Linked DNA regions of Struthio camelus. The protein of the gene in region 1 interacts with the protein of each later gene in a biochemical or structural test. Links are inferred from orthologs where the notes say so. Each region holds a gene or a part of one and is shown on either strand. Other genes may lie near its edges.

What was found. The genes of interacting proteins can lie anywhere in the genome.
Region 2: of the proteins of PTPRC (region 1) and CSK, one has a biochemical effect on the other in vitro, tested with the Homo sapiens proteins (2 studies listed by IntAct). The link is inferred for Struthio camelus from reciprocal best matches to the Homo sapiens genes PTPRC and CSK.
Region 3: of the proteins of PTPRC (region 1) and LCK, one has a biochemical effect on the other in vitro, tested with the Homo sapiens proteins (5 studies listed by BioGRID and IntAct, with this or other methods). The link is inferred for Struthio camelus from reciprocal best matches to the Homo sapiens genes PTPRC and LCK.

What each region holds. Positions count from the first base shown.
Region 1 is NC_090949.1:12,353,961-12,361,411, forward strand, and holds the start of PTPRC (receptor-type tyrosine-protein phosphatase C), read left to right. Parts: upstream 1-4,443; 5' UTR 4,444-4,562; intron 4,563-4,647; 5' UTR 4,648-4,704; coding exon 4,705-4,771; intron 4,772-7,451. UniProt on the Homo sapiens protein: Protein tyrosine-protein phosphatase required for T-cell activation through the antigen receptor. Acts as a positive regulator of T-cell coactivation upon binding to DPP4.
Region 2 is NC_090953.1:23,421,850-23,429,268, reverse strand, and holds the start of CSK (tyrosine-protein kinase CSK), read left to right. Parts: upstream 1-4,402; 5' UTR 4,403-4,417; coding exon 4,418-4,474; intron 4,475-4,781; exon of another isoform or gene 4,782-4,796; coding exon of another isoform or gene 4,797-4,841; intron 4,842-5,735; exon of another isoform or gene 5,736-5,787; intron 5,788-6,993; exon of another isoform or gene 6,994-7,137; intron 7,138-7,419. UniProt on the Homo sapiens protein: Non-receptor tyrosine-protein kinase that plays an important role in the regulation of cell growth, differentiation, migration and immune response.
Region 3 is NC_090964.1:8,587,726-8,595,040, forward strand, and holds the start of LCK (tyrosine-protein kinase Lck), read left to right. Parts: upstream 1-4,298; 5' UTR 4,299-4,428; intron 4,429-7,315. Other genes in the region: myotubularin-related protein 9-like, read right to left, coding at 1-428; protein FAM167B, read left to right, coding at 1,486-1,785, 2,638-2,901. UniProt on the Homo sapiens protein: Non-receptor tyrosine-protein kinase that plays an essential role in the selection and maturation of developing T-cells in the thymus and in the function of mature T-cells. Plays a key role in T-cell antigen receptor (TCR)-linked signal transduction pathways.

The sequences.
Region 1 (7,451 bases):
GCTGTAATGGGGATGCCAAACAGTTCAGGGCTGGGACTGAAGGGCTCTGTGCTGAGACTCATCTTTTCCTGAAACTCAACTCACTATGCCCAGGACAGTGGCTATGTAGTTACTAGCGAAACACATACTTCCCTAAGGGAGAGCCCTTGGCTCAGGGCCTCATATCTAATTCCATGGGTGTTTATCCGAGCTAGCTGAGCACTAGAGCGAGCGAGCGACAGAGAATGATGATGGAAGGCAGGTTGAGGAAGGCATATCCTTATCATCATCTGCTTATTCAATAATTGCTATTCTCCTGTGGGAAATGTGCGTCACATGTAAGTCAATGCAAGTCAAAAATAGTGGATGTCACTGCATCTTCATTGCATCTCTCTGTGGAATAGTTTGATCTTTTTTTTTTCCCCTCCTTAAGTCATATCTGTTTCACAAATCTACTGGAGGGATAGAGCTCTGGACATATAGTATCTAATACATGCACTAAGATTACTAAGATTTTTACTTTCATTGTCGCAGCAGAATCAAACTTTTTTTGTGACTGTCAAACCCAGTTTTGGTGGATTTTAAGTGCTGAAACTGAATATAGCCTGCCTATATTCCTATATTGCATAAGTTAGTTCTGAAATGCATCTGATGTTATGTTTCTGTTGTTTCTTGTGAGTTTTTCTTTTACCATTCCAATTAAAAAAATTAAAAAAATAGGATGGTTAATTTATCTCCAAAAACATGATAGCTTCAGCACAGAAATATTTTCAATTGGCATAATTAGTGTCCTATAGTAAACATTTGTGTCATAAAATACTTTAAACTGATTTAATGAATATAGAATTAATCTATTTTGGATTATTATTGGAATGTATTTTCATTTAAAATTATGGTTTATTGAAGTGTGAATTGCTTCTTTACAACTCATTTGCAGCAAGGTCATATTGCTTAAATTCTTTCTTCCTCGAATTCCCTTTCTTTCCTCTGTATTTAAGGACTCTATTCTCTATTAATTAATTTTTTTAATTATTAATTTTTGGCATGAAGCTAAAGGACAGGGGGACAAACAACATCTTGTTGTCCATGATGCATGCTAATAATTACTGCTGTGAATTTTAAGAGATTAATATTTATCTATACTTCTGTCACCACCTACCATTGATAACAGAACTTCCAGTTAAGCCTACAAGAAACGAATGATTTCAGTGTATCCAAGAGTCTTTTACAATGCATTTGTGATCTTTTCCAAAGGCTTCAGATATAAATTGAAAGGAAAACTGATTATTATTAGCACTTTACTTATATTTTTAGAGTTTTATTGCAGCTCTGACAAGATTGCCCTTTGTGCTATGTGTAACTGTATGGAACACAGAGATACGTATTTATGGCAATTTAACAGATCTACTGTATTGCAAGATAGGTGAAGCAGACAGTGAAAGATTTACTTCTTACAGTCTCTTTGTGTCTTACAAAAGAAGCAAGCTTTCAAAGAGATGGGTGAGTTAAGTTTTTGCACTGTTTTCATCGTCATTGCCAAAATCTTTAGTCGTACAGATTGACAGTTCTGGCTTTAATTCTTTCTTGTTCAGGGGAAGTATCACCTCCATAGTTACATCTTGATGAAATCATTTGGCTGTTTAAAAATAAATGGTGTGGCCTGAAAAGAGGTCTGTTTTATTAATACTCCATTGCTTAATATGCGAACAGAATAAATTTATCTCCTCCTGCACCCCAAAAGGTGGTCTTTTTTGGCTTATCCTTGAGAGTAAGACTGCAGTTTATGCTTGGGAAAAGACTTGATGTTGTTCTAATAGCCTTAAATGCATTCACTATTCATTCTGGCTGAGCTGAACAGGAAATATGAGATGGGGTGTAAATACATCTATGTAGCTGTCATATATTAATAATGGACTGAAATGGAGCTCAGTACAAGACAAACAGTGTAAAATCCCAGGCTAACATTTTTATAGGATAATTTTCAGCAAGGAACTGAACCACATTAGAACTGAAATTTCCCTGCTTCTTAGTCTATTCTTTGACTTGTTCATAGTACAATGATTTTAACTTACCAAACCAAAACCTTACCAGAAAAGTTAAACAGAAGAGGCCATATCTTGGCCATCAGCCCGCTCTACATCGACTTTTCGTGCAGGAATTTTTCCCTTTCAAATCATCTTCTTCTACTGTTTCTGAGGCAACCACTTTTATGGACTGTCTTTTTTACTCAGCAAATCTATAACAATCATTCTCTGAACAATCATTCTCATATGGCTGAGAGGAGCTAAACTGCCCTCTTTTGTTTACCAGTAGAGCTAAGATTTCTCTGTCAGTTTTGAAGTCTCTGATACGTACCATTTTACATCTTGCAACATTTAGGGTCTTCTGCCTAAGGAACATGCTAGCAGACGACGCTGATTCCGTTTGCCTGATCCTATATTTTTGCTTAAATCTGCACTTCCTGCTAAAAGTTGTGTAACTTTTAGCTTCATGTATGTAGTTGATAATTACCTGCTTTCAAAGGCTTGAATTATGAAGGGAGAAAGCTTGAAAGTTTGCTGCTTGTCACACACTTCCTTCCTCCTCCTTTGGCCAGGTATGCAGCTGTTTTAAGGACTTCGTGACTAAAATGCACACGGCAATTCACAGTATCAGCTTATTGATTAGTTTCTTTGAAAAACCAATGTGTTAGTAACACAATATCTTTCATTTCTTCTTCAGATGTTCAAATAGACAAATGTCAAATAGACAGGCTGCACCGATATTTGCATTTCAGATGCATAGCAAGCAGATGAAGTATTGCAACGTCTGAGGCTAACCTAAGATCAAAGACACTATGTAATTTCTGTGAAGTGTATTTTTTTTTCTCTCAGATATGGGGCAATGCTTAAACTCAATGCCAAAATATGTTGCTTTCACGGCCATGGAAATAGATTTGCTGAATGAGGGGTCTGCTCTGGGAAAGAAAGAGTTTTTTCTTGTTAGCACTTCAGTAAAACTCAGTATATATGGTTTGAGTACCTGTAACCTCCCTGGAGTTTCATGTGTAATCTTGGGTTAGTAATTTTAGCAATCGATGGTTTATAGTTCCTCAGCTGTTAAATGAGGGATATTAATAACATACCCCAATTTACAGTGATGGCTAGAGTGTGCAATGTGTATCATTAAATAATACATGTGATATGTTGCAATATTTAAGTGAAGGCTCTGTAAGTATCACACAGACAGAAAAGGTCCATTGTGTAGCCTTTTTTTCTTGGAAAGGTGGCTTGAAAAGTCAGGCAGTGGCTCTGTAAAACTGCCTGGGAAGATCAGGTAGAAATGGAGCTTGGCTCCACTTACCTGACTGACAACCTTCACGTGAAATTCTCTATAGGGTACAGTGCTCTATTTTCGTCATATGGGACACTTTGACACTATGGTTTTGTCTACGGATAGCAAGGACTAAGATACCAGTGTTGAAGACAGTATATGACTGTAGTCCAGGTTCAACTCATGGCAACTTCTGGATGATGAAGTTATTGTATATCAAAGCTAGGGTCTCTGGAGATTCACTGATGCCACTACGTCAGTTTTGTTGTGAATGCATTTGTAATGTAATTATTATTATAACCAGTTGTTATACAGACATGCTGTTTAAGGTAAGCTAAGATTTTAGTCTGTGTTATAGGACTTCACTTGAACTTGGACCAGAGAAAGCTATTTTTAATCTTATGGAGAGTCTGATTCGCTAATTTCATATGTGAATTATTATGCAAATTTGTGCAACTTTTCCCAGTGTAATGTTTAGGAAGTCTCTAAAGGATTTATGACATGAATGAACAATAACACAGATAGACTCTTTTCCCTTCTTTATCTGTCTTGTGGCAGGATTCTGTTGGTACTTTTAAAAACTTTGAACTTGCCAGTAAGAGATGCAATCCCAACATTATTGCCTTTGCAATTTCACATGTAATGGGCATTTCTCATTCAGTTGCATCCTATCTCAGTGCATACAGTGAGGGGGAAATATCTTTGGTGTATCTTGCCTGTTCTCCAGGAGAGGAACCCAAATTTTCAAGGACTAGCATAGTCCACTACCAACTACTAGGAAGGAAAAAAAATTCCAGTTTCCAAGGATTTATAATTTTTTTATGGAACAGGTGAATAGTGTGACATTCCGTTTTGTACTTGGCCTTGTTGCCAATGTAATAGTTATGTTGATTGATTTCTTTTTTTTTTTTCCTCCTTGAGAAGAGTCTATAAATAAGAAAGGACTCAGTGGAATGTACACTGTAAAAAACTGAATATGAAGAAAAAGAATGGCTGTTCGTTGAATCTAGACTTTTAAAGTTAAGTCTTGTTCAGTTCCTCAGTTGAAATGGCTGAAAACGTTCAATTTCATTTGAATTAAGGAAGCTGAGCATTTCTGTAGCAACTTAAGAAAAACCCTCTTGACTTCCTGGAAACTGAAAGAATTTTTTTTTTTTTTTTGAAGAAGTAATTGTCTCTGACATCACTACATGGCATTGCAAGTTTGCAAGTGGTTAGTTTAGGGTAACAGAGGAAGCAGCTCCTTCACTGTGATAAGCAGGCAGTGCAATGTATGTGCCCGGTTATTCTCCTTTTTGATTCAAGTTTCGCTTCGAAATTATTTTGCAGAGAGATAATACTTATTTTGCTTTCTAGAGAGAGAGACACACACATGCCGTTTCATAAGGATACGCCTAATTTCCAGAAATAACCATGTTTTTGTGGCTTAAAGTCTTAGCGTTTGGCTTTGTCTTTCTGGACCAGGATGCTTTTGTCAAAGGTAGGTAGCAATTGACATTTCGTTTTCTAATTTTGAACCCATAACGTTCTGTGTAGAATTGAAACAATTTAAAAGCTTTGCAAAATGAAGAACTAACATCTAGTTCAGAAACTAGAATACGATTGTCTGTAATGTTGTCAGAACCTAGATCAAGAAGACTGACTCATAATATGCAGGGCTAAAATGTCTTCCGTGTGGTCATGTCTGAGTGCTGTATGAACTACAACTTAAAAAAAATAATTGCCATTGCATTTGAAAAAGAATACATTTAGATCTCTTATATGAACCTATTCAATACAATATTTATGTCTGGTTTCATCTCATAAGGCAGTACTTTTGTTTTTGTGTGCTTTAAAGCTTTAAGAAAAAAAAATTCCCATCCATTAAAGCCACTCCTTCATCTCAGATTCTGCATACAGTTCCTCAAACTTTGATTTTTACTGCAGTGGGACTGGAAAAAAATGAAACATTTTAAGTTTCTTTGTACTGTTGGAAAATTACATTTATAATTAATTAGTTTATAAAAACTGCTTCTTCAAAGAGCCTTCAAAATTCTGAATTGACTATACTACCCCACTGGTGAATTTAAGTCACTTGACCTTTTTTAGTTTTAAAAAAGGAAGATTTAGCTGCAGAGGTTGATCTCACAAAACATACTAGATGTGAAAGAGTTGCAGTGGTGAGTAGCAATAAAATCAACTAATATTGAGGTAATAATTTATACGAAAATAAGAATTTGGTTGATTTATGTTTGAAGAAAAGATTTTCTTGAAAAGAACATACAGCGTTGCATATCTATGTACCTTTCTTCAGTTTAGGTAGTTAATAGAATTTGGCATAGGTCAGGGCGGATACAAAGTCTTTTCTCTTAAGTAACGTTCATCCTAAAAGTGGCTCATAACTTACACGTTCTGAAATCGTAGCAAATTACATTTAGGGCCAGAACTGCTTCTCACATATGTTGAATTTATTTGTTTCTATCTTCACTTTATTGTAGTAACTGCAGATTTATACTGATGTAAGCAAGAAAATTATCTGCCTTTAGTTGATAACCAACTAAAAGAGTGTATGAGGTCTGAACATTCGTTGTCTTGTCCTTCAAAGTCTCTGAAGAGAGCCATCACTCAATAAATCTGGTTGGATGTTACCAGAAAACAAGTGAATGCTGTGCTGTAAAGGAAAAGAGAAACACTTTCTCTCATTTTTCCTGACTTTTTTTTAATCTGCTGTCCTACTTTTCATTTTATAAGTCTTTCCTATGGCTTCCTACTGCTCCCTTTTTCTCAGGGAGGGCGGGTTACGGTCTGCTTTTGCAGTCACCTCCAGTCAGTGGCTGCATTAGCTGACAGCAAGGACCAGAAGACAGAAAGAAGGGTAGCAGTGTTTTATTTCAAACAATAGTTATTTTTTCTGTCTACAGACAGTAGTCTGGCTTGATCCAGTTTCTTGCTATGTGTTGCTGCTAAACAGAAGAGCCTTAAAGAAATGAAATCGTCTAACTCCTCTCTAGCACACTTAAAGCAATTAGCAGTCTGATTCTGCGGTGTCCAGGACTCGACATTACAAACCATGGTTTCACCATGTCGTTTGGTGCATGCTTATTTGAGACGCTGTCTTTCCATTTTGTACCGCACCTCTACAGATATGACCCATCTGTAAAATTTTCCCTGTAGGTTTGATTTTGGCTTTCAGGACACCTTTTTCTATATATACAAGAGGGGGAAAAGGTAGGAGCAGAAGGCTCCTAGAGGTTGATTTTTTTCCTATAAGGGTGATAGGACTTTTATACTTCATCTTTGCTCTGTAGATTACTTTGCCTAGTAGCTGTGAACTAACTGCTCAGTCTTTTAGGGAGGAGTTTGTTACTGGAGGGGCAACACTAGGAAAAGGTGGGGTAAGCTTTGGTTTTATGGAAGGAATAATTTTCAGGCGCTTGCTAGTCAGTGTTGAGTGTGCTTTGGGATTTGTTTTGACGTTATGATTAGTGTCTAAGAGCCTAAATTACCTAGTGATTTTGAAAACCCAGCAGGACAAATTTTAAGATTGTTGGATTCCCACCACAAGCCCAGGCATCTGACAGAATATCTCAAATTCCCTGCAATACCCAAACCACTTTTGAGAACTCCAAACTACATTTAAAAAATAAAAGTCCGGAATACCTAGAACCTGTGCAAAGACTTTTTATTATGTAAATCCTCTAAATAAGACTCATATCCATCTAATTATACTGTTAATAAGTGGTGAGTAGTTGTCTTTGGGGTATTTGAAAGCGGATAGAATTGTCCACAAAAAAACAAATCCTGGAGTTGCATCTGCCTTTGTAAACATTTGTACTACTGAAATATCCCATTAAACGCATCACTGTTTTGTGCAATATTGTTTAGTCTTTCATTTCCACCTAAACAGAATAGCTAGCTTTATGAAAATCCTTAGTTGGCAGGTGTGTGCCTTTTAAAATCTTTAGTGCAAGGTTGATACCCTAATGCCTTCTATTATCTAGGCTGACTTCCTAATCAAAAAGGTTATGCTAACATATCTGATGCAATGCATCATTGCCTATCTTTGCAAAATAAAACTTTGTTCTTATTTTAAAAAAAAAGGGGGGGGGGAATGCTTGCAGGATTTGCAGTACTTTTTTTTTTTTCCATTAGCCCAATAATTCGAGTTCCTCCTCTACCCT
Region 2 (7,419 bases), on another chromosome or scaffold:
TATAACTCCTGGGCTCAGCCGGGACCCAGGCTAGAGGAGCCACCTGCAGAACAGTCCTTCCTCCCTGGATGCCAACTTTTGGCATTCCCACCACCTCCCCAGGGGGGTTGCTCCAACATTTAACGACCCGCCTGGTTAAAAGCACATCCTGTGTTTCTAACCTAGCTCCATCATCCTGATGTTGGCTCCCTCTTCCATTTTGCTGTCTGTTTATCCCCCCCTCCCCAGATCTGCTATCAGATATCATCTGCCCTCCGGGATTAACCCTTGGATGCCTGTAAAAACTACCAAAAGCTGCACGTTTCTGCCAAGGAAAAGAAAAAAAAGAAATTGAGTTCAGTCTCCCAAGTGCTGTTGGAGATACAGCTGAAACCTATCTGGGGCCTTCAACAGGTTTCCTTGGTGCGGAAGGGGGTGTCACCTGCTTTCTGTGTCGCCCCCCCCTTAGCCGCTTATCCTGATCCAGACTGATGCTGCGACGCTCCTCCTGGGCTCCCATGCAAAGTGCTCCCTCCTCCCTCGGGCCACCGATAAAACCGCAGGGTCTCACCTGGCTGGTGGGGCCCTGCAGCACCTAAAGGGGTGTTCACGCGGTGCCCCCGTGGCGGTGAGCGCGGCAGGGGTCAGCGACGCTTTCGGGCACGCCAGCGAGATCCCAAGGAGGACTGCTCCGGCACGGAGCAGTCTCTGGGTGCCGGAGCCGCTGCAGCCTCCCCAGGGCAGTTTCTCTCGGAGCAGGGTTGGAGCAGGCGCCTGGTCCTCAGCGCTGCCCAGGCTGGACCCACAGACAGGGGAGAGCTCGAGCCGGCCGAGTTGAGCCCGCTAAAGCTGCGAGGGCCTCAGCCCAGAGCCCCAGGCCCACATACTCCAGCGCTGGGGAAGCAGGATTCGGATGCAAGCTGGCATCTCCGTTCCCCACATCATCCCCGCTGGATTTGGTGCCCACTGCTCTGTCCCCCGGGTACCACCCGGGTACCACTGCCCGCCCACACCCCTCGCATCCCCAAGCACTTTGGCTTGGATCTCATCCCCCCATTATTCCTCACGCTTGGCAGGAATTACTAATTCTTGAGAGCTCCCAACTCAGTCCTGAGCTATCCTCCTCCCATCCCTCCTCCCTCTTCCCTCTGGAAAGGAGAGGGTGTTTTGGCTAATTGATTGCGCCAAGTCATTAGAGGCACAATTAAGCACCATGTTCCTCAGAAAACATGAAAGCAAGCAAGGATGGAGTTTGGCCCCAGGTTAAGACGGGAAGAAAGAGATGGCAAGATAGCCGCTCCCCGCACGCAAGGGGCTGTCTGAGGAGAGCTCTGGGCTCCTGGGAACTGCCCCGAAACCTGCCTTTCCTCTGGCTGCCTGGCACTGCGAGCCGGCCCCCTCCCGCCCGCGCCCCACGCAGCCATGCATGCACGCATCCGTGGACGACGGAGGCAGCGGGGAGCAGCCCGGGGGGACGCCTGCACCGCCAGGAGCGCGGGCGTCCCCGCAGAGCCTGGTCCAGCGAGCAGAGGCAGCGCGAGCCAAAAAGCCCTGGGATGGGTGCAGGGAACAACGCTCTGCCCTGCAGCGTGCCCCGCATCGGGCACGGGCCAAAAACGGGCAGCACGGGGGCAGCGAAGAGGTAATTTGGGACACACATGAAATCAGAGCCCAGATTTTACTAGCAAACGAAGAGGGCCGGGTACCGATCTCTCCGGTGCTGGAGGGACGCGGGCAGAGCGCAGTCTGGCCCGATCGCCCTCAGGAGAAGAGCGACGTGCCGAGAGGCAATATCCCCACTTGCTCCCCTCCCTGCTTTAATTAAAATCGTCCTCAAAATGACGGCTCCGCTGGCGAGGCTTCGAAACGAGGCTGCCCTCGGCACCGGAGAGGGCTCCGGGGCCGGCACGGCGAGAGCCGCGAGGCGGACGCCGGTTCCCAAGTCCCTTGGGCGCTTCTGGAGCATCTGCGTCCCCGTCTCTCGTGTTCGTGACGCGAACGCCCTCCCGCGGCATCAGCTCGCAGGTGAATTCCCCAGGGTCCAGGAAGCTGGGATCCTTCACTCGGGCTTTCCCTAGGAAGTTCATGCCCATGAGTGTGGATTCTCAGCTGTCTAGTACAGCCAATACAGCAACCTTCTCGTCTGCGGGGCTCTCCTGTCTCTGGATACCGGCTCTTGCCCAAGCTGCACTGTCCGAAAGCCCTGGAGGCACAAGCGCCACTGCCAGCCAGGGCTAAAACCAGCCAGGAGATCCAGAGACGAGACAGATCCGCAGGATCGGTGACTGCCCACGCTTCGCTCCTTTAGGAAACCTGGCTTCAGGTCTATCCCCTGTTTTAGACGCTTAAGCACTCCCCAAAGCGTCCAGCGCTTGGCTGCCAGCACGCGGTCGCTGAGATGCCACCCCACGCCGAGCTGGTCTGGCACCGGCGCGTTCCCCGGAGGGGCCTGGGCGAACCTGCCGGGCCGTTTGCGTAAAACCAGCCTTCGCAGCGCCCGCAGGCTGCCACGTGCTGCTCCTCTCGCACCAGGTCTCATCGGGGAGACGGGGCAGAGGACTCTGGCTCTTGCATCCCTTCCTCCAGGACAAAGGCAAAGCCTTCAGCATCACTTTCCTGCCGGCCCGCATCCCGGATCGCTACGGCGGGTGACTCACCGTGGACGGGTGCCCAGGGTCCCTCCTGGCCTGGCGTGGGAATATTACACGGTCAGGATTTTATTCTCAGGACGGGAATCGCTGCTGCAGGGACGAAGGAGGTGTTTACGGGCCAAAAGAAGCAAGATCCAGGGGGTTACGGACGAGGTGCCTCGGGGCAAGCTGTGGGTGAGATACTGCTTGTCTTCCTGGTGGCACCGGGAACATCGGTTGGGGAAGGGTCAGAAGCCCCCCTTGGCCCCCAGCCCACTCCCGCTGGGCCGGACGAGGGAGCTCAGGACCACTGATCTGGCCTGCGCAAGCCAGATCTGCCACATCCCAGCAGAGCGCAGCGTCTCCCGGGCCTCGTCCCTCCTTCTCGTCCTCCTTTCCCCGGAAGCGCGGCCGAGAGCAGCCCTGCGCCTCCTCGCCATCCTGCCGACTCAGCTCCGCCAAAAGCCTGGCCTTGGCTCTCTGCCCTGCGAGGAAGTTCGGCTCCTCCTCGGCTGGACCCCCAGCGACAACAGGCGCTGCTGCGCAGTTTTTCCTTTCTTTACTTTCCCTTTTCCTGCAGGCTGATTCCCACCAGCTGAAGGGCCCCCTCTCCTGGTGCAAAGCAAGGAGGTGGCTGCCCACGTCTTCTCCAAATCCAGCCCTCCAAACAGGGTGGCTCCGACGCAGCGGCCCAGGCCAGGCCGTGGCACGGGCAGGGACCCTTTCCCAGACTATTGAAGGTGGGGTCCCGAGCTGTGTCCCGAGCATCGTTCCCCTCACCCTTCCTTTGCACTGTGGCATTTCTACTGTCCCCGTAGTCCCGCTTTCTCCACCTTCCCCTCTAAACTTGGCCGTACGTCCTCCCTTTCCTTCCGTCCTTCCAGCAGCCCCAGCATTCATGGCTTGCAGTCGCTGGGACCGGTGACTTCACCCAGCTTAAAGCAAATCTGGCCTTTCCCCAGCCGGATCAGTTTTGAACCCACTCAGGTCCTGGGACCTCCTGCCAGGTAGGAGATCAACACTTCCAGCAGGAACGGAAATCAGCCCAACACGGCAGTCCGACAGCACACTGGGGAGTTGCACGACGTAGCCCGGGGCACAAGGGTCTGTGTGCTTGGGCAGCCGCAGGTCTCCTCTGAACCCCGGTGGGGCCGCTGGGCTGCTCACCTCGGCCCAAGAGCCGTCTTCCAAGGACCTCTGGACACGCGAGGTTGTTGGCCGTCGCGCAATAAGCCAGGAGGTGCAGCAGAGCCCACGAGCGAACGAGACAAACCCAAAGAGGAGGAGGCTGTTTGTGTCCATTCACCATCAAGGAGGAGAGAAGGAAAGGGAGAAGGACACAGCAGGGGCTGCTGATCACCATCCTAAAACCAGCACGGCAGGACAACGCGGTCGTGGGGCTATTTCTCCAGGCCTCCTTCTAGGTCTGACGGATTGCAAAAGCCTGGAGCCACCTGCACAGTTCCCCACCGGGCCGGGTTCACATTTTGTGTTTTCCTTCAGGAGCCAAGGTCCCAAAGTCCCAGTGCTGCTTCCCAGAAGAGAGGCAGGGCCCGGGAGAAGGGATGCCCCGAGCCGGCAGGCCGCGTGCGGGGCTGTGCCCGGAAAGGTGCTTCTGCACAGCAGTTACTATTGCAAGAGAAATCTGCCCCCCAAAACTCCTTGCAGCCCCCACACAAGGGAAAATCCCGAGCCTCATCCCCATTCTCCCTGCCCGCCCCCTCCAGACCGGGCCAGCCTGGGCACCTAGGCAAAGCATTTTTCCCCGATGAGCGAGTGGTGATGCTGCGGCTCTGCGTGCACCGCGGATGTGTGCGCGCATCCGGACGCCTGCGTGCGCACACGGGCACGCACCTCTCGGGCAGGTACGTCCGCGCAGGTGCCCGCGTTGGGCTGCGTTTGCCAGTGCGTGAGGGCGCGGAGGGGTGCTGGCGCGCGCACGCTCGGCCCTGCGTTTATGGGCACGCAAGCTTGGGTGGGTGCATTTCTATGGGTGCGTGCGTGGGTTTGTGTCTGCATCTGTGGGTGCATTTCTGGTGCAAACAGATGCACGAGCTGGTTTCACTTCCTCCCAGGGCTGCTCCGCTTGGTAGCTGCGTGAGGCCGAGCGGGGAAGCAAGCCGACCTGCTGCTGGCGGGGCCTTCCCTGCCCCTCTCCGGGGGGTGCATCCTGCGAACCACGGGGCGATGCGCCAGCTCCTCGCACGGGGCTCAGGGCCTGGCGGGAGTCAGGTCTGCACGACCGGCACGGGCTCACCCGACACCCGGCGAAACCGGGTCGCAGGCTCTTTCCCGCACACCGTGCACAGGAAAGCGCCCTCCAGAAGTGAACGGGGCTTTACAATCCGCTCCCTGGGTACCGGCATCTCCAGCCTCCCTGTTGCCTTTCCTCCCGCATCCCTGCGGTCCCCTCGCCCCCTTCGCGGGACGTCTCCATCGCTTTGTTATCTCTTTTCTTTCTTCCTTCTCTGCTTGCTCTGCTCGCGCTCATCCTCACCGCCGGGCCAGGCAGGAGAGACCGTCCGATGGACGGGGAGGTCGCGTGCGAGCGGCAGGGAGATATCCCCCCCCGGCAGCCGCGCAGGGCCGGGCCGCGGGGCTGTTTTCGGAGCGGCGCTCAGCCCCTATCTCAGCGGAGAGGGGCGGAGGCGAGGGCGGGCAGGGTCCCTGCACCCCCTGCCTAACAGCCCCGGGGCGAAGCGGGGAGGAGAGCGCTCCGTGCAGGGAAGTCCAAGGCCACCCCTTCCCGCACAATGGCATTATTCAGAGCGGCTGGCGCGGGTCCTGCCGGGCTGGCAGGGCAGGCGGGCCCCGGGGGCCGCTCGGGGCGGCAGGCGCCGGGAAGCGTCCCCCAGGCCGAGCGGCGAGCAGGGAGCCGCGCCGGTTTGTAAAGCGATTGGATGGCAACTGGCGAAGCACGCTTGCAGCCCGCTGACTTGCGGTCGCCAGCGTCGGGGCGGGACGATCCCGAAGCAAGGAAAGAAACGAGAGCAAGCAAAAAACCGAAGAGAGGCGCGCGCCGGCGCTTCCTGCTTTGCCCTACATGGCCGCGGCGTTTTGCGATACGAGGCAGGAAGTGACAAGCGCTTTTTCTTTCTAATTGAGCCTGCGAGGCATGATTTAGTCTGCGAACGCCTCGTCGCTGGATGGGGCGCTTTGGCCGGAGGGAGGGACGGCGGTAAACGAGCCTCGTGGGAGAAGCGCCGGGAGAGCCGTGGCCTGGCGGGGCGCAGCATTGCCTCCCGGCTGCGGAGGAAAGCGCCGCACCGCGAGGCTCCCGCCGCCCGCCTAGGGCTGCCCGCTGCGCCGAGCCCTGCCCGTCCCCCAGGGACCCCCGTCTCCTGTCACCGCCGGCAGCTTCTCAGGGCCAAGCCAAAAGGGAGTCGGGCTTTTTAAGCCTGTTTTCCAGGGTCTTTGCAGCTCCCACCTGCAGCTGCTGCCTGGAGGCGCCGGCCTAATTTTGGCACGGTTCTCGCGATTTGGAGTCTGGCGCGTGGAGCGGGATGATGGGCCTGCTCCCCCCACCCTCACCCACCGCGCAGCCAGGCCGGGCGTCCGCAGCGTTTCGCGGCCTCCTCCCCGAGACGCGCCGCCCGTGCCCCGTCCCCTCCAAAGGCAGCGAGCGGCCTGAGCCGGGGTCCAGCCGCGTTTGACCCCGGGCGACCCTGCAGACAGGCTGTGCGGCGGGTGCCAGGGCCGGGGAGCTGCAGCGAGCCGCGCGCGCTGGGGCGCGCTGGGGGTGCCGGGTTCGGGCTGGTGGGCACCCGCTCGGCGTTTGCGAAATCAGCGCAGGCCACTTGCAGAGCTAGAGCGCGGCTGGAGCCAGTAAGTGACGAGGCGCGCACGGCCCGTGCAAGGAGGGAAACGGCAGGGAAGTGCCCAGGAGACGCTACGGAGCCGCCCGGAGCCGGTCAGGAAGCCCAAGCAGCGTCGTGCGCTGCCGGGAAGGGCGGCGTGTGCGCGGGCCCGGCCGCCCCCTCACCCCCCCCCCGCCGCCGCGCTCCGCGGCTCCGCTCGTGGCCCGGCAGGTGGCGCGGCCGCGCTGCCCGGGCGGCGGCGGCGGCGGCGGCGGCGGGCGGCGGGCGGCGGGCGGCGGGCGGCGGGCGGCGGCGGGGTCGGGCCGTGGCGGCGCGGCGCAGGCGCGCTGCTCCGGGCGCACCGATTCCGGGCGTCGCTTCCTGGCAGCAGGCCCCGCCGGCCCCGGCAGCGCCGCCCCGGGCCGAGCCCGCGCCCCTCGGCCCCGCGGCAGCGGCCGCGCCGCCGCCCGCCCGGCAGCGCCGCAGCGCAGCGCAGCGCAGCGGACGTTTCGCGGCGCCGCGTCGGGCAGCGGAACCCCGGGGCGGCGGCGGCCGCTTTGTTTCCTCCTCCCCTTCCGCCGCCGCCGCCGCCGCCGCCGGCCCAGCCGAGCCCGGAGGCCCCGCCGGCGCCGCATGGAGTACGCGGCGGCGGGCTGAGCGCCGCTGCCCTGCCCTCGCCCCCTGCCCGCCGCGCCGCGGCGGCGGCGGCCGCGCACCGGAGCCCGCCGGAGGTGAGTGCTCGGCCGGCGGGGACCGGCCCGGCCCCGGCTCCCCTCCCCCTTCCCCAACCTTCCGCCGTTCATCCGTGCGCTGAGCGCGTCGGGCCGCCGCCGGGCCCGCCCTGCCCTGCCGCCCGCCGGGGGCGCGGCCGCCGCGGGGCAGCGGCGGGGAGCGGGGGGCAGAGCCGGTGCGGCGGCGCCGGAGCCGTCGGGGCCGCTGCGGCGCGGCGGCCGCGGGCGGCGGCGAGGCCAAGGGGCGCCCGGCGAGCCCGGTCCTCGGCCGCCCGACGGCGC
Region 3 (7,315 bases), on another chromosome or scaffold:
CGCGGGAAAAGGGGCAGGAGCAGGGTGGGAAGGGGCTGCGGGCAGCGCGGGAAAAGGGGCAGGAGCAGGGTGGGAAGGGGCCGAGGGCAGCGCGGGAAAAGGGGCAGGAGCAGGGTGGGAAGGGGCTGCGGGCAGCGCGGGAAAAGGGCCAAGGGCACCCTGGGAACCGTAGCATGGGCAACAGCACAAGGGGACACGGGGCTTTCAGCACGGGGGACCAAAGGGAGCTGGAGGCAGCGTCCTTGGGGACCTCTCCAGGTTTTCTGGGGCTGCAGGCGGTGGCAGGAGGTGGGCAGCAGCGGCCGTAAGCTGCCGTCATTCCTGCAGGCCCCGGCTGCAGGGAGCAGCCCTGCGGCTGCTGTGGCCATCGCAGAGCCTTCTGCGCCGGGAAGAGGGGCAGAAGCCGGGCGTAGGGGGTGCCAGCACATTGGCAGCGTGGTGCCTCCGACACCCCCACGCAGCCCTCTACGTGTCTGTGCACACACTAGCTCCGAGCCCCGTGCGGGGCAGCGGGGGGCCAGGCCGAGCCGGTGGCCGGGAAGAGGGGGGAGTGGCGGGGGGCCAGGCCGAACCGGCTCCAGCCCCGGCCCGCGGGGCTCCTGGGGCCGCTGCTCCCTCCCGGCCCGGCAGGTTCCACCTTAACGGCGACGCAGCTGCGAGCAGCAGCTCCAGGGCTGCAGCGACCTGGCGGTGCACAGCTGGCTGCACAGCTGGCGCCGGGGCCACCCAAAGCCCTCCGGGGTGAGCCCGGCAGCACCCCAGGGTGCAGACCCCGGGGTGCCTGGCCCGGGGTGAGCACCCCCCTCCTGCCCGGCACTGAGCCGAGTGCTGAAAGCGGAGCCCGGCGCTGCGGGACGGAGCAGCAGGTTTTTTTTTTTCCTTCCCCATTTTTTTGCTCTGCTCGGAGGTGGCATTCGGGGACCTCGCAGCCCTCCCTCGCTCCCAGCCCGGCGGGAAGTCGGTGTCGGCCCCGTGCCGATAACAGCGCGGGAGGGCAGGAGCGCCCAAGGATAAATCATTCGCGCCCCTGCAGGCCTTGGTGTCCTCATTAATGCTTCCTCCGTGGGGAGTCTCCTCCCAGCTGGAGACAATAACACTAAAAAAGAAACGAAACAAAAAAAAAACACCCCCCCCCCGTCCTTCGCAATTCTCTGGATAAGTAAAGTTCCTGCTTGTTATAATTATCACCGGCGTCCCCAACCTTTATTGTTCTAGGGGTGGATAAATAGCTGCGGCTCACGCACAGCTGGTGGGAGCGGGTGTCTTGCAGCCAGCGCTCCTCACTCTCCTGCGTGCACGAGCGCTTTGGGGGGCAGCGGGGTTTGCACGAGGGCTTTGGGGGGAGCAGTGGTGTTTGCACAAGGGCTTTGGGGTGCAGCGGTGTTTGCACGAGCACTTTGGGGGGAGCAGCGGTGTTTGCACGAGGGCTTTGGGGGGCGGCAGCAGGGTTGCAGCAGGGCGCTGGGGCTCCGCGCGGGCGCTGCCATGCCCTTCAGCCAGCTGAAATTCAAGGAGCTGGGCGAGGAGGAGCCCGGCTCGGACGAGGAGAGCCTGGACAGCGTGAAGGCACTGGCGGCCAAGCTGAAGCTGCAGACGCGGCGGCCCTCCTACCTGGAGTGGAAAGCGCGGGTGCAGGGGCAGCCCTGGCCGAGCAGGGCGCCCGAGGGGGCCGGGGAAGCACGGGGGGCAGAGCGGGTGCCGGCGCGCCCCGAGGAGCTGCCGGCCGGCCGCCTCCGCGGCTTCGCCTCCATGCAGGAGGCTCTGCAGTGGCTCAGGACGGAGCTGGTGAGTGGGCGCCGCGGGGAGTGCAGCTGGGCGGGGGTCCCGAGGGACGGCGGGGGGCGGCCGCGGGGCTGCGCCGGGCTCGGGGCGCCCCAGCTGCGGCTTGGCGCAGGGGCGGCTGCTTCGAGGGGTGCGCGGCGCCCCGTCCCTGCCCGCCTGCCCCGCACGGCGCCTCGCCTGCTCCGCCGCTGGCACGGCCCCGGCGTCAGCGTGGCGCGTCCCTCGGGCCGGCGCGGCCGCCCTGGCCTCTGCAGCGGGTCACCGCAACAGCTGTGCGGGTGCAGCCCCAGGGGCGGCCGTCCCGGGGGCACGGGTGCACGGTGGGGGCGTGCATGCGTGTGTGTGGGCCCCGTGCATGGTACCAGGGAGGATGTGTACACACACATGCATGGGCCCCATGCATGGTGCTGGGGGAGGATGTGCACCCACATGTGCATGGGCCCCATGCATGGTGCTGGGGGGGGATGTGCACACACATGTGCATGGACCCCATGCACGGTCCCGGGGGGGAACATGTGCACCCACATGTGCATGGGCCCTGTGCACAGTGCCGGGGGGGAACATGTGCACACGCATGTGCATGGGCCCCGTGCACGGTGCTGGGGAGGCATGTGCACCCACACGTGCATGGGCCCCCTGGATGGTGCTGGGGGGGAACATGTGCACACACGTGTGCATGGCCCCCGTGCACGGTGCTGGGGAGGGGATGCATGTACGTGGGCCCTGTGCGCAGTGCCGGGGAGGGGAGCGCTCGTGGCCCCCGGAGGGTTGTGGCCCGGCTCCCCTTGCCCGGGGCGAGGGCGGGTGACCCGGGTGGCGGCGGCAGCACCCTGACGGCTCGCTCTCGCCGCGCAGCGGGAGATGCAGGCAGCCGACCAGCTCCTGGCCCGGCAGCTGATGCGCCTGCGGGGGCAGCTGCACCGGCTGAAGGTGGAGCAGGCCTGCCACCGGCACAAGGAGATGCTGGACGACGCCACCTTTGGCCTCGAGGGCTGCGAGGAGGACTCGGACCTGCTCTGCAACATCCCGCCCAAGGCCGCCTTCCTGCTCTCCACGCCGCTCAAGCACATCGGCGTCACCCGCATGAACATCAACTCCCGCCGCTTCTCCCTCTGCTGAGCGCGCCGGACCCCCGGGGGCCCCTCGGCGGCGGGGGGCCACGGTGCAAAGCAGCCCTCCGAGAGGGAATAAAGGAGCTGAGGGCGAGCGGCGATGTCGTTTGCGGAGCCCACCGCCCGGGTCTGTGCCGCGCGGCGGCAGGTGCCCTCTCCAGCATCCTGGCAGCGCTCGGGCCGAGCGGCTGCGGGAGATGCCCCGTCGCTGCCGGGTCGCGGCTCAGCTGGAGCCCGCGGCCGAGGCCGGGAGGCGCCGGGGGCCGAGCAGCCCCGGTGCCCGGCGCCGGCCCTCGGCAAGCAGCGGGCCCCCCGGGCGCCGTTTCCGGCCGCCGTTTCCTGTTCCCAGGACTGCAGCAGGACGCGGCGGGGAGCAGCCGCAGCGCTCCCGTGATGCCGGCGGAGCAGGGCTGGACGCGTGCCCGGCGGGGCCCGGGGCCGCGGGCGCCTGCGCCAGGAAGCGATGCCGGAACCGCGTCGAGGCCGAGCCGGCGGCGGCCGCCGTGCCGAGGGCGAGCGCCCCCGGCCCTCTCCTCTTTCCCGCCGCGTCTCTTCCCGTGGCCTCTCGCCGCGTGGGGCTGCTGGCCGGCCCCGGGCACCGTGCCGGCCGGGCTGGGCCCTCGAGCCGCCGCCAGCGCCTGCCGCGGCCCCCCGGCGCGGGCTGGGCTTCCTGCCCCTGCCTCCGCGCAGCAGCCGGCACCGACCTGTGGCTTTGCCTCCGAGCGCGAAAGCCAAGACAATAGCTTTGCGGTCGCTCTGCTCGGAGCGCTCTCCAAAAACAGGGGGCTGGCGGCGTGGCGCAGCCCTGCAGGCGAGCTGCCCCCAGCCCGCGCCGGCCCCGGCCTGGCGTCCCCGCAGCTCCCGGTGCGGCTGCAGGGGGGCTGCCGCCCTCCGCCCGGGGGCTCTCGTGGCGCCGGGGGACGATCCGGGGAGCATAATAAAATCCTGGCCGCCCCAGCCCCTTGCAGCATGTCCCCCACCCCACGCAAGCCCCCGCTCCCCCTCCGGCCGGGGTCCTGGCGGGGGCGGCCCTGCCGGCTCCGTCCCAGCCCTCGCCGGTCGCCCCGAGCATCCCCGTCTCGCGTCGTTCGCTGCCCGCTCCCGACGCCGTGGGGCCCCACGCTGGGTCCCCCCCTTCCCCGGGCTGCCGCGTTCACGCGGGTGGGCTGGGTGCATCCACCCGGGGTGAGCGCGGGGGGCACCCGGTGCCGGCGGGTGGGAGCCCGGGCGCCGCTGCGCAGCCCGGCCCGGCTGGCAGGAAGCCCCTGGGGTTGGTCGCCAGCACTTGCGGTCGTGCGCGAGCTGTGAACCAGCTTCTCTAGAGTTTGCTCATGAGGCAGGAAACCAGGGAAGGCGGCGAGCGAGCGAGCGTGAGCGGCGGCGGCGGCGAGCGCGCGCCCCAGGCTCTCGCCTCCTCGCCCGGCACCGTCTGCCCGAGGATGGAGAGCAGGGCGTGAGCGGGCACGGCGCCTTCGCTCCCGCTGCCGGGCCATGGAAATCTGAGCGCGGCCGGTCCTCGCCTCGCTGCCGACAGGTACCGGGTGCCCGGGGCGCCCGCGGAGGGGTTGCGCCGGCCCGGGAGCTGGGGACCCCGCGGGAGCCCGGCCGGGGTGGAGGGGGTCCCTTCGCGCTCTCCAAAGTCACCCGGGCGGGATGGAGATGGGGTGGGAGCGACGTCCCGGGAGGGAGCCGGCGGGCGCCGCGGCCGGGCGCAGGCTCAGACACGGCGCCTGGGCGGTCGCGCCGGGCCCGGGGCCGAGGAGAGGCCGTTCCCGGGGCGGCCCCGAGCCCCCCTGCCAGGGCTCCCCGGCCGTGGGTGGCAGCCGTTAGGCACCGGCTGGGTTTCGGTGCCCGTCACCTGGTGAAACCCGGCTGGTTTTGGGCGCTGAGATGCGGCTGCTTTAGGTGCAAACATTGCCGTGCCACAAGGGCAGGAAGGGGCAAGTGCTCGGGTCACCGGCATCTCTGCAAGGCTCGGCGGCGCTGGGGCACCCGGCGGCGCTGGGGCACCCGGTGGCACTCGGGGCCGAGCGACGCGGCCGCCCACGCTCAGGGCTGCGAGCAGCGCCTTCGCCGCTGCCACCGCCCGGCCGCCAGCGAGAGCGGCCCGAGGCGGCCCGGGGAGCGCTGGGGACCCTTGGGGAGCGGAGGGAGGGGGTCAGCCCAGCCGCCAGCCCTCGCCAGGCTTCGCGTTCAGCCACGCGCGTGCTGGCAAAGGCACCAACGCCGGCCTGGCCGAAGAAGCGTGCGCACAGAAACATGGCATCCGGGCTGGCACATGGCAGCTCCTCCAGAACCGGTTGCACACGGGCGGACACGCCGGCAAGCAAACCCAGGGAGCGGTGCCTGCACGCATGCGTGGGCACCTGCATGCATGTAGGGGCACATACACGCGTGGGCACCCACACCCATGTGTGGGCACATGCAGGCATGCGTGGGCCCCTGCACGCACCCGCGAGCGGGTGCAGGCGCCCGCAGGCCGGCAGGCGCAGCCCTGCGCCCCAGAGCCGGGCCCCGGCGCGGGGCAAGGGCGCCTACACACATCACTCGCACGCAGCCTTGACACGAGAAATTCAGTTACACCGATGCAGTTGCAAAACCTGACTTCAAACGCCCCGCGACACGGCATGCCCCTCACGCTGAGCAGGTGAAACGGTTGTTTGGTGGAAATTACTCTGTGGCTTGAGTACATAAAAAAGAAAAATTACACACAGCACCAGCACGCACCTCCCTCCCTTCCCCGGCTTCTTGCACAAAGGAAAAAACACCTCTTGGCACTGTTTGCCTTCGGTGAGCGTGTCAGCGCTCGCAGCTCGCAGGGCTGCTTGCAGGCTTGCGAGGTCGCACGGCTTTTCCTCCGCCGGGGCCGAGGTCTTGCCCCGGTTGGGTCACTCGGGGCCGGCCCCGGGAGCGGACGGAGCCCGCGCTCAGCGGCCCCCGCGGCCCCTCGCCCTCCTCGGGCCGCCGCAGCCCGGCCGAGCGCTCGGCTCCGGGCCGTTAGCCGCCACCAAAGAGCTTCTTCACGTAGGTGCAGCCGGAAGCTGAAAGCAGCCGGGTGTTTTGGGGGGTGTCAGGCGCCCGAGCAGCGCTGGAGGGCACGGCGGGGCTCGCGCGCCCACCCTCTCCGTGCCGGCTGCCGGGGCAGCTCGCGCCGCGGGGCGGATGCGCCGTCCCCCGGCGGCACGGCCGCGCCGAACCCCCTTGTGCTTCTCCATCGCGGGGGCGAGGGAGGATGTCCGCCGTCTTCAAAAACAGCCCGCGGCGCAGCCGCCCCGGCCCGGAGAGGGGAAGACAGGCAAAAATGTCAAAAAATACAGCCCGCGCCCCGGGCGCTGACGTGGCAGCGAGGCAGCGGCTCCGGCGGCGGGTGCTGGGGCCGGTGCCACCCTGGGGACCCCCCCGGTTCCCACGCCCCGGCTGGCTGCTCCCCCCCAGCCCCGTGCGGTTACGCACATGCAAGCGAAACCGCTCGAGGGTCGCGTCCCGCTGCCCTCCAGCCGCCAGCCCGCGTGGCGGCCAAGTTAAATGGACGCTTTTGTGAAAAGCAGAGACGCGTTTTTAAAGGGTGGCACTCTGGGGAAGGGAAAAATAAGGAGAAGGTAGCGTCGGTGTTAGCAGCGCCGGCGGGCATCGTCGCTCCGGCGGGATGGCCCCCTCTCCCCCTTTGGCTGCCGGGACCCCCGGCTTCGTGCCGCGCTCGGCCGCGGCGGGAGGGCGCGAGCCTCCCGGGCGGTTTGCAGCGCCCGGGCGCTTCCTGCGGCGTGCGGCACTGCTGCCCGGCGGCCCCGGCGCCCAAACCGTGCAAACTGGGGGATGCTCGAGGTCCGGGGGGGGGGTCCCCGCTGTCGAGGGGCGAGCTGCCGAGGGGCCCCCGAGGAGCGACTGGGGTTTAGAGCACAGCCCTGATGCAGGAGAAAGCAGAGCCCAGGGGCGCGGGGGTCCGACCCCCCCCAGCCCTCAGACGAGTCGCTCTGCAGGGGACGGGCCCTGCCGGAAAAGAGAGCGCGACGCCAGCGGGAGGGTGCAGCAGCCCTGCGGCCCCGGGGGCTGAGGCGCTAACGGGCCCGGCGGCTGCTGAGCTCGTTAGCGCTGCAGTTTGCAAAGCTCTCGGCCCAGCGCAAGGGTAACGAACGCCCCGGGGGCGAGAAGGAAACTGGGGGTGACGCCGGGGGTGGGTGCGTGGAAGCTCTTCCCGCCGACTGCAGGAGCTGCTTTGAAGGCCAAGGACCTCGTCAAATGCTTGATGCAACGCCACGCAAAGAATTATTAATTGCTAATCGAGTAGTAACGATAGACTGATTAAGTAAAAGGGAGCCGGTAGGAATCAGCCTAAGGGCTGCGAGGGGGAAGGAGCCGCGGCAGGAGGGGGCAGCCCCAAGCCGGGGCGGCCGCAGGGGGAGGCTGCCGGGAGCTCGGGAAGC